Linked DNA regions of Danio rerio. The protein of the gene in region 2 interacts with the protein of the main gene of each other region in a pairwise test. Links are inferred from orthologs where the notes say so. Each region holds a gene or a part of one and is shown on either strand. Other genes may lie near its edges.

The links.
Region 1: the proteins of kxd1 (region 2) and tcea2 interact in binary tests that used the Homo sapiens proteins (3 or more experiments, as listed by UniProt). The two-hybrid records come from large-scale screens. The link is inferred for Danio rerio from reciprocal best matches to the Homo sapiens genes KXD1 and TCEA2.

Annotation. Positions count from the first base shown.
Region 1 is NC_133198.1:8,860,561-8,864,915, forward strand, and holds the start of tcea2 (transcription elongation factor A protein 2), read right to left. Parts: upstream 3,097-4,355; 5' UTR 2,916-3,096; coding exon 2,847-2,915; intron 2,360-2,846; coding exon 2,297-2,359; intron 100-2,296; coding exon 1-99. UniProt on the Homo sapiens protein: Necessary for efficient RNA polymerase II transcription elongation past template-encoded arresting sites.
Region 2 is NC_133200.1:21,951,929-21,956,314, reverse strand, and holds the start of kxd1 (kxDL motif-containing protein 1), read right to left. Parts: upstream 3,119-4,386; 5' UTR 2,863-3,118; coding exon of another isoform or gene 2,768-2,862; 5' UTR 2,116-2,767; intron 1,700-2,115; coding exon of another isoform or gene 1,672-1,699; coding exon 1,547-1,671; intron 1-1,546.

The DNA.
Region 1 (4,355 bases), on a different chromosome or scaffold from region 2:
TTTCTTCCAGGCCTTGATGAGTGATTTGGCCAGAGTTTGCACCTCTTCATCTGAGCTCTGCTTCCGCACCGCATTTACTGACATCCCGATCCTAGTTGACTACAGTGAGAAGATCACGTTACAAACCATGGAATATTGCACTGTTCTGATAAACTGCAGCTCATTATATATGATTTACAAAAATAACCAGCACCTAATATCTAAATATCATACTCTGACTAACTGATCAGGCTTCTGCTTTAAAACAGCTAATATTAAAATATCATATTGTCTTGTTAAAATACTGTTTTAATCACTGATATCGAAAGACAAAGCCAGAGCTCTGGGGTATTTCCTTCTGAACACTGATGATCTGTTGTGCTTTAATTTCTCCTCAGGGACCAATAAGGGCTGTTTGTCTGCACATTACCTCCATCCATATTGACTAAATCCATCTCAGGGGTATTACAATAAAAAAAAATAAATAAATAAAATATTAAACAGAAAATATTTTGCTCATCATCTAAAACGAACTCTAACTGAAATTAGTAAATATTATAAAATTAAATGCTTATAAAATTCAATTCAGGTTTATTTCTATAGCACTTTTTACGAAGTAGATTGTGTTAAAGCCCCTTAACAAAGTTCTAGAAAATAGAATTTGTATGAGTCCAGATGTCAAAGTTGAAGTTCAGTTTAGTGTGGATAAATTTTCACTACTGAAAGTTCAAACACTGAAGAGCAAATCCATCGATGCGCAGCTCCACAAGTCCCAACCAAGCAAGACAGTGGAGATAATGCATTATATTTATGTTTTCAGTTATTTCTCACATTCATTTGCTTAAATTACCTAAACCAAAGTAAAAAACACTGACTGTTTATGCAATTTAGTAATGTAGGGTGAAATAAATAACTAAATAAAATTGAAGTAAATAAACTGTGCCTTTTGTGCATCATTTTGGCATTTTGTAACATTGGCAATATGATTAAATCATAAATCAAAAAATAAACACGAATGATACTAAATTAAATTCAACGAACAAACTGGAATTGAAAGCACATCGTAGTTTAATTCATGAAAGTTGCTCTGTTGTGTGCTTTTTATCAAATTCAAGCAAAAAAATGGTCTTGAATGCATTTGTGGTCTTCTAGATTTATAGTTTCTGCCATTTAAAAGAAAGAAAGAAAGAAAGAAAGAAAGAAAGAAAAAGAAATTAGCACTTCTGAGATCAGTCAGCAGGGTTCATTAGGTGTGAATTGCTATTTTTTACGTACTCATCCGAAAAATTGTCAAACGCCATGACATTATAGATCATTTTGAGACATGCAAACAAAAACAATGGTCCCAGCGTATTTTTCTGTTTTACATTTTATAATTTCTAAAGCTTTCGAGAATCTAAAGAGAGCCACACAATGATAAAAGTACTCAATAGTGAGAATTGAGTATTACTCTGTGAAAAGCTGATGCGTGTACATGCAATTTGTGTGTGTGTGTGTAAACGTAACATTCTGTAGTGCATTTAGTGATTGTTTAAGTCCATTTGACAATTTCATCATACAGTAAACACCCTTCATCTTCTTATCAGTGACATAGTTTAAAAAGCCTCTGGCTCATTGCGTGTAAAGATTTTTGACATCTTCTTGGACAATTGCAATACTTTTACAATGGTTTGCTGCATGTATAAAGCATCCATGTATTGAGGTTGTTCAATATGATGCAATTGAGTTTTCTCTGTGCGATTTGATTTGGACAGGAATCGCTGGATAGATTTTTTACTAAGCCAATCCCCGTACACAAGAAAAAAACAAATAGTGACTGCAGGTTGAAGGAAAGTAGTGGAGTAAAAGTACAGATACTGCTGTAAAAATGTACTCTAGGGGAAGTACACATTTTTAAAACTACTTCGTAAATTACAATTCCTGAGAAAAAAAAACTACTCAGTTTTAGTAATCGGAGTATTTGTAATTTGTTATTTTACACCACTGCTGTTGTTACAGTAATGAAATAGTTTGATAACAAGCAGAAAATGTTCACTGGGCCAATGACATGACAACATTGAATTCGTCTATAGAGTTGATTACATTTTCATGACTGGATTGTGAGAATTTGATTGAGATTTCAACGTCCTCTCCTATATTCGGGATTGGCTCATAGTAATTTATTCAGATATTTTCTGCTGAAATTCCAACAGTACTAACAGTATGCCAATGAGAACACTAGCATGGGATTCCCTGACAGAAAGAAAAAGAGTTGATTATATAATCTAGCACAGCACACACTCGTTCCAGAGATGCCTTCTGCAGTCTATGTAGATACCTGTAGGGTCTCCAAAGACATTTTCATGTTCTTCAGCTCCTGAAGCAAGTCAATGGCACCATCCTGAACATAAAAACACAAGGAGGTGAGAAACAAACAAAATTGGTAAACAGTCACTACAACAACTTCTTAAATGCGTCAGTAAACACTAGCTTCTTCAACTATAGCTTGGTTTACACAAAAACACAGGCAGATACTATGTTTTGGGGACGAAACTGGGGCTGACTTGTGTGAAGTACTAGATAAATGAGTCTTTTGTTTGCGCTGGAGAAATTTGGAGAACAACCAGCTGCCAGCTCATCACAGCACACAAACGCTTCAAACATGAGAGTACAAAACGAACGAGTGATTGTCAATGGAGACTGACCAATAAGAGCACACCGGGCGGTAGTCTGGAATAGGATGAAACAGGTGATAATCACACACACACCAACTAGTCTCCTGCTGGTTTAACGGATACAAACATGAACGAACGAACGTCGAATAAACAATGTTCTCCTGCCTGTTTTATTATTATCAGATGCTACAGAAAAAAATGTGTGTCACTTACGGTGTTTTTTTTGTGCACCATTTTGTCCAGCTTCTTGGCGATGCGCTCCACTTCTTGGTCCTTCACCATGTTTGCAGGTTTAGGGCTGTTTGATGGCGCCCGGTGGCCAAGCCTCCATTTACGTGTGAAAATGCGCCCGTCTCTCTCTCTGTGTGTCTCTCTTTTAGTGGCAGAATGAGAGGAATCCACTGCCTTTCACTTCGCTCTCGTCTGTTGTTGCATGGTTGATTCGCGAGCGAGTCGTTCTTATGAGTCGAATCATTTTAAAGAATCACTTGAATTCGAACGATTCGTTTACGAACGAGATTGAATCAGTGACTGTGCTTCTCGACACAACAACTCACCAATTGTTTGGAAAATCATTCAAGAACATCGTCTTTTCTGGCCATTTTATTTCGTAATGACACAAGAGTATCATTTTAAGTGACCAAAATGGAGTGAAAGGTAAGTTATTAATGTACTTTACTGGCTATATGGTTCTGTGGGAATTGTCAACACAAAAGTCAAAAAAGTTTCAGGATATGTCCAATGCTTGTGAGCCACTAACTAACTAGGTCAATGTGAATTAAAATAAACACGTTTGATAGTAAAAAAAAAAGGTTAACTATTGCAGTATTGATTTTCTAAGCCTATTTTATGCCACAAAGAGATGTCATTTGGTCACGTGATGACATAAACAAAAATCATCCCTGAATTGTTCATTGAGTGGTGTTTGAAAGAATCGATTCGCGAAAATGAGCTGCACTGCACATAGTTTCTGTTTCGAAGCAGGGTGTTGTGGGGAGTGGAGTTTATTCACCACAGAAGCAAGCAGCCAGTTTGGTGTAAAAAAAACAAAAACAAAACAATAACAACTTTAGGTTATTAAGGAGACAATGCAGTCCTAACACGGATTAAAGAGTTTTTAAATTATTTGACAACTGCAATCGTCATACTCCAAAATTATATTCATCATCCAAAAAGGGTTTAGGCTATATTATATTTTATTATAATATATTATTCATTTATTTATTCATTTTCTTGTCGGCTTAGTCCCTGTATTAATCCGGGGTCGACACAGCGGAATGAACCGCCAACTTATCCAGCAAGTTTTTACGCAGCTGATGCCCTTCCAGCCGCAACCCATCTCTGGGAAACATCCACACACACACACACACACACACACACTCATACGCTTCAGACAATTTAACCTACCCAATTCACCTGTACCTCATGTCTTTGGACTGTGGGGGAAACCGGAGCACCCGGAGGAAACCCACACGAAGGCAGGGAGAACATGCAAACTCCACACAGAAACGCCAATTGAGCCGAGGTTCAAACCCGCGACCCAGCGACCTTCTTGCTGTGAGACGACAGCACTACCTACTGCGCCACTACCTCGCCTTATATTATATATAGTTAATCTGGGGATGCCACTGCGGAATGAACCGCCAACTTATCCAGCATTTGTTTTACGCAACGGATGCCCATCCAGCTGCACCCCATCACTGAGAAACTCCCATTCACACA
Region 2 (4,386 bases):
ATGGTTAATAGGGGAGGGCAGAGCACAAAGTAACGTGGAGTAAAATAGAAAACAAGGTATTTGCGCAGGGTTAACCATGCCATGCTTCCGAAGTTTTCACCACAGTGTCGGTCGGCAAATGTCTTCCTGCCAATTATTGAAAACTTTCAGGGAAATTTTAATGAGAAATACAGGAGAAACCGTTTTTGCAGCATAAAAGTTTTTTTTTTTTTTTTTTAGTTGGTATTTTTTATTTAAAAAAAAAATCTGTGTAAGTATGCAAGTAAAATCTTATATTGCTGTGATTACCTTCTTCTAGGCTGAAAGATGGAACCATTTTGAAAGATGTAAAAAAAAAAACTGTGACTGATAATATATATATATTTTTTTTTTTTTGAGTGTAATGTTCAGAACTTTTTATACAAAATGTTTTATAAAAGAAAATATTTTTTAATAGAAAAAAATTTATTTTATAGCTAATACTGCAAATAAGTGCATTGTATAATAATGTACAATAATGAAATAAATCCAAATGTCTTTATCCAACAGATAAATAAATAAACATATTGTGCTATGTTGAATAAAAATAAACTGAGCAATGTACTGAGGAAATATAGCTACTATTTAAATAAACTGATTTTAAATAAATTGTGTGAGAGCTGACTTTATAAGCATGTGTTACAACTAACCCTCTGTCTGTTACAACTTGCCCCACATGTGGGGTAAATAGTAACATTTTTACTCCCTGCACTTTTGGCAATAATACACAGAAACCATAGGTCTGAAAATCATACAACCATTGCTCATTGGTAGGAGAGGCTTGTGTGTTGTTGGTAAAAATAAATGGTTCAGGGTTCAGACACATTTTTACTACTAAAATTCCATGACTTTTGCATGATTTTTCCAAAACTTTTAAGTAAATTTTTATGACCTTAATGTTTCATGCAATGTCTACATATGCATGGTAAAAGAAAAACAATGCAGGTTCAAATTGATTACAGCATATCGTAAAACAAGCAACAACCTATTAAGTTTTAATTTATATTTACATCTATGTAAAATTGATTCAGATAATGCTTACATCACACTAATATTGTGAGAATGTGACTGGCAAAGGACAGAAAAGCAGTAAATAACCTATATTCAAGTATAAAGATTTCTGTTTTCCATGATTTTTCCAAAACTTTGTGGGTTTTTCTCTTTTTCCCAAACTTTCCCAAGCCTTGAAAAAGGCATGTCAAAATACTACGACTTTTCCAGGTTTTCCTTGACCGTATGAATTCAGATGGTTTGTCTAACTCCATTACTTTGTTCATTATTTGGCCAAAACCAAAAAGTGTTACTTTGTGCCCCGCTCTCCCCTATACACAGGTGAAAACTAGAGTACATTTTCTATTTACACTTAAATAATGTACTGACTTACAATGTAATATTACTCAACTAATTTGTTGAGTTTAATTTGTGAAAAGTTACTTTAATGGCATTTTAAATGACAAAATAGTAAAATATGGTAACACACTCATTGCTAAACATCACTCAATTCAATCTTAATTTGCAAACATAACACCTTATTCTTCTGAAGATGCTGTCCAAGTCTTTCTTCATCTCTATCAAAGTCCTGGTGTGCATCAGAAAGTGTTCATTCATCTGCTGTAAGCGCACATTGGACAAGCCGTTGAAGTTGATCAGCATCTCATTGGTTTTCTCAAAGCGGTCCAGCCTGTAGGACATGCATCAAAACAGGTTTTAAACAGCTTCCTTTTTAGGTACTTTACTAGAATTTAGGTACGTTAAAGTTGGTTTTAAATTCAACTTGTGACATTCTTCCTATATTTTGAGGTGAAGTTGGTTTTATATTCACACATTCAGACTTTCTCTTTAATAATATAATTTCAGAAACTTACTCTTTGCGAATACTAAATAGTGGAAACATATTAGCAGTCAATGAGCATCAGACTAGGTTGTTTATAGTCAAATAAATAGTGGTTATGTTGTTTTGAAGTCATTCTTACACAGGATTTCAGACCCAATGTTTTACCAGTACCATGGTAAACAATATAGGGACCATATCACAAGTGATCACTGAAAGAATGTTCAAATATAAAACCAACTTTACCTCAATTTCCTTATGTTTACCGTGGTAATTTGAATAATCGAAATCAGGGCGAGGCAGTGGTGCAATAGGTAGTGCTGTTGCCTCACAGCAAGAAGGTCTCTGGGTCGCTGGTTCGAACCTCGGCTCAGTTGGCATTTCTGTGTGGAGTTTGTATGTTCTCCCTGCCTTCGTGTGGGTTTCCTCCGGATGCTCCGGTTTCCCCCACAGTCCAAAGACATGCGGTACAGGTGAATAGGGTAGGCTAAATTGTCCGTAGTGTACGAGTGTGTAAATGTGTGTGTGGATGTTTCCCAAAGATGGGTTGTGGCTGGAAGGGCATCCGCTGCGTAAAAACTTGCTGGATAAGTTGGCGGTTCATTCCGCTATGGTGACCCCGGATTAATAAAGGGACTAAGCCGACAAGAAAATGAATTATATGAAATCACAAAGACTATAGAATACATAGAATACAATATGCCTTACAGGGACTTTGGTGTGACTTGAAAACAACATTAGCACTATTTATTTGACTGTGAACAATGTTGCATTTTGATAGTCATTGGCTGCTAATATGATTCCACTGTTAAGAATTTGAAAACGACACTTTTCTGAAGTTATACTGTTAAGGAGAAAGTCTGGATGTGTGAATATAATCCGAATTTTACCTCAATTTCACTAGACAGGGATACTCACATATGTCTCTGGGCTTGAATGATGGCGTTCACATCCTCAGAGTTCACCATACTGAGCATCCTGTTACAGAATATTCCCGAAGCTGTGGGCTCCATTTGAACTTTTTCGAGAGCAAAGCACGAGATTTATTGAGTTATGCTAATAATAAACCGATACAGACGAGTGTAATCGCTTACGTGCTAAAATATTCGCTTTCTGACTAGTTTTCGTCTGACTTTGTTTGTTTCTAAAGCGTCGCAGTCTGATGCAGGAGGTTTTGCATGTATGCAGACTTTTATTGTATTCCTAAAACGATCAAACATTTACTGGACTGAGATGCAGGCAGACATTTTTGTTGTGGTGTTGTCATATGATCGCTGAGAGATCGTGACGCATTTGGGAGGCGGCATCTAGAAGGTTTTCTTAGCGTTGATTGGATGTTCAGAAAGACAGAAAGAGGGGTTTAAAAGGGCTTTAAAATGAAATGTAGATTTATAATGCGCTTTCTGTGATGATAAAGAAGAGAGTATTGCTCATTTATGTTATGGTTGTATTTATACACAGTTGTTTTGGTGTTATCTTTTTTTTTTTTTTGGTAAACGTTATGAATATTGCTTTTCAATTCAAAGAAAAAGATTATTTATTCTTTATATGAGAATACTGTCTACTTTATAATGTGGTGTTTTGTAATTTGCTAATTATATATGGAAATATTTTTATTCATAAATGTACATGTGCAGTGGAAAAACCTAATTTTACTCACTTAAAAATAGAAATAGGACAAGGACAATAAAAGAAACAAAAAATACCAAACAAAAAGAACTGTTATTATTATACTATTATTATCTTAAAGCCTTAAATGCTGTCTTTGAATAATTGTATTTTTTTATTTTTGTTTTATGTTGTATTTATTTTTATGTAAACATAATGTTTTTATTCCCTTTGTATGTTCTGTGTTCTAAAATTGCAATAAAAAAATAAATAAATAAAAAGGGCTTTAAAATATTGTTTTAATTTGTTTTAACATACAATATAAAATAAGAATACAGTATCCCAAAATGACTTCAGTACTATATGCACCACATGAGATGGATATTATGAATATATATATATATATATATATATATATATATATATATATATATATATATATATATATATATATATATATATATATATATATATATATATATTAGGCCTGTATTTTATATTTCGGTAAATATTAGTTTCTATTTATAAATATAAATGTTATTATGAATAGTGGAAGTAATTTATTCAGTTTATTTAAGCATTTTCTAAACCTATTAATATAAATGGCGTTATATGTAAACTGTATTATTACATTTTTAAGAAATACTTTTTTATTAATTGATTTTAATACATTTTAATTATGTAAAAATATACATTTGCATAATTAACTTATTTGTATTAATAGTATATATTGTTTGAAGATTGCTTATTATATTATTCGATTTCAGTTTATTATACACAATGTAAAAATGATATGACAAAAGTCAACAATATTTTGTTACTTTAACTTATTTAAATAAGTTAATAAAGCTGTATGGCATTGATTTCTGAAGTGTATAATGTTTGGCATTACAGAATTATTTCTAAATGGATCTTGTCACTGAACACTA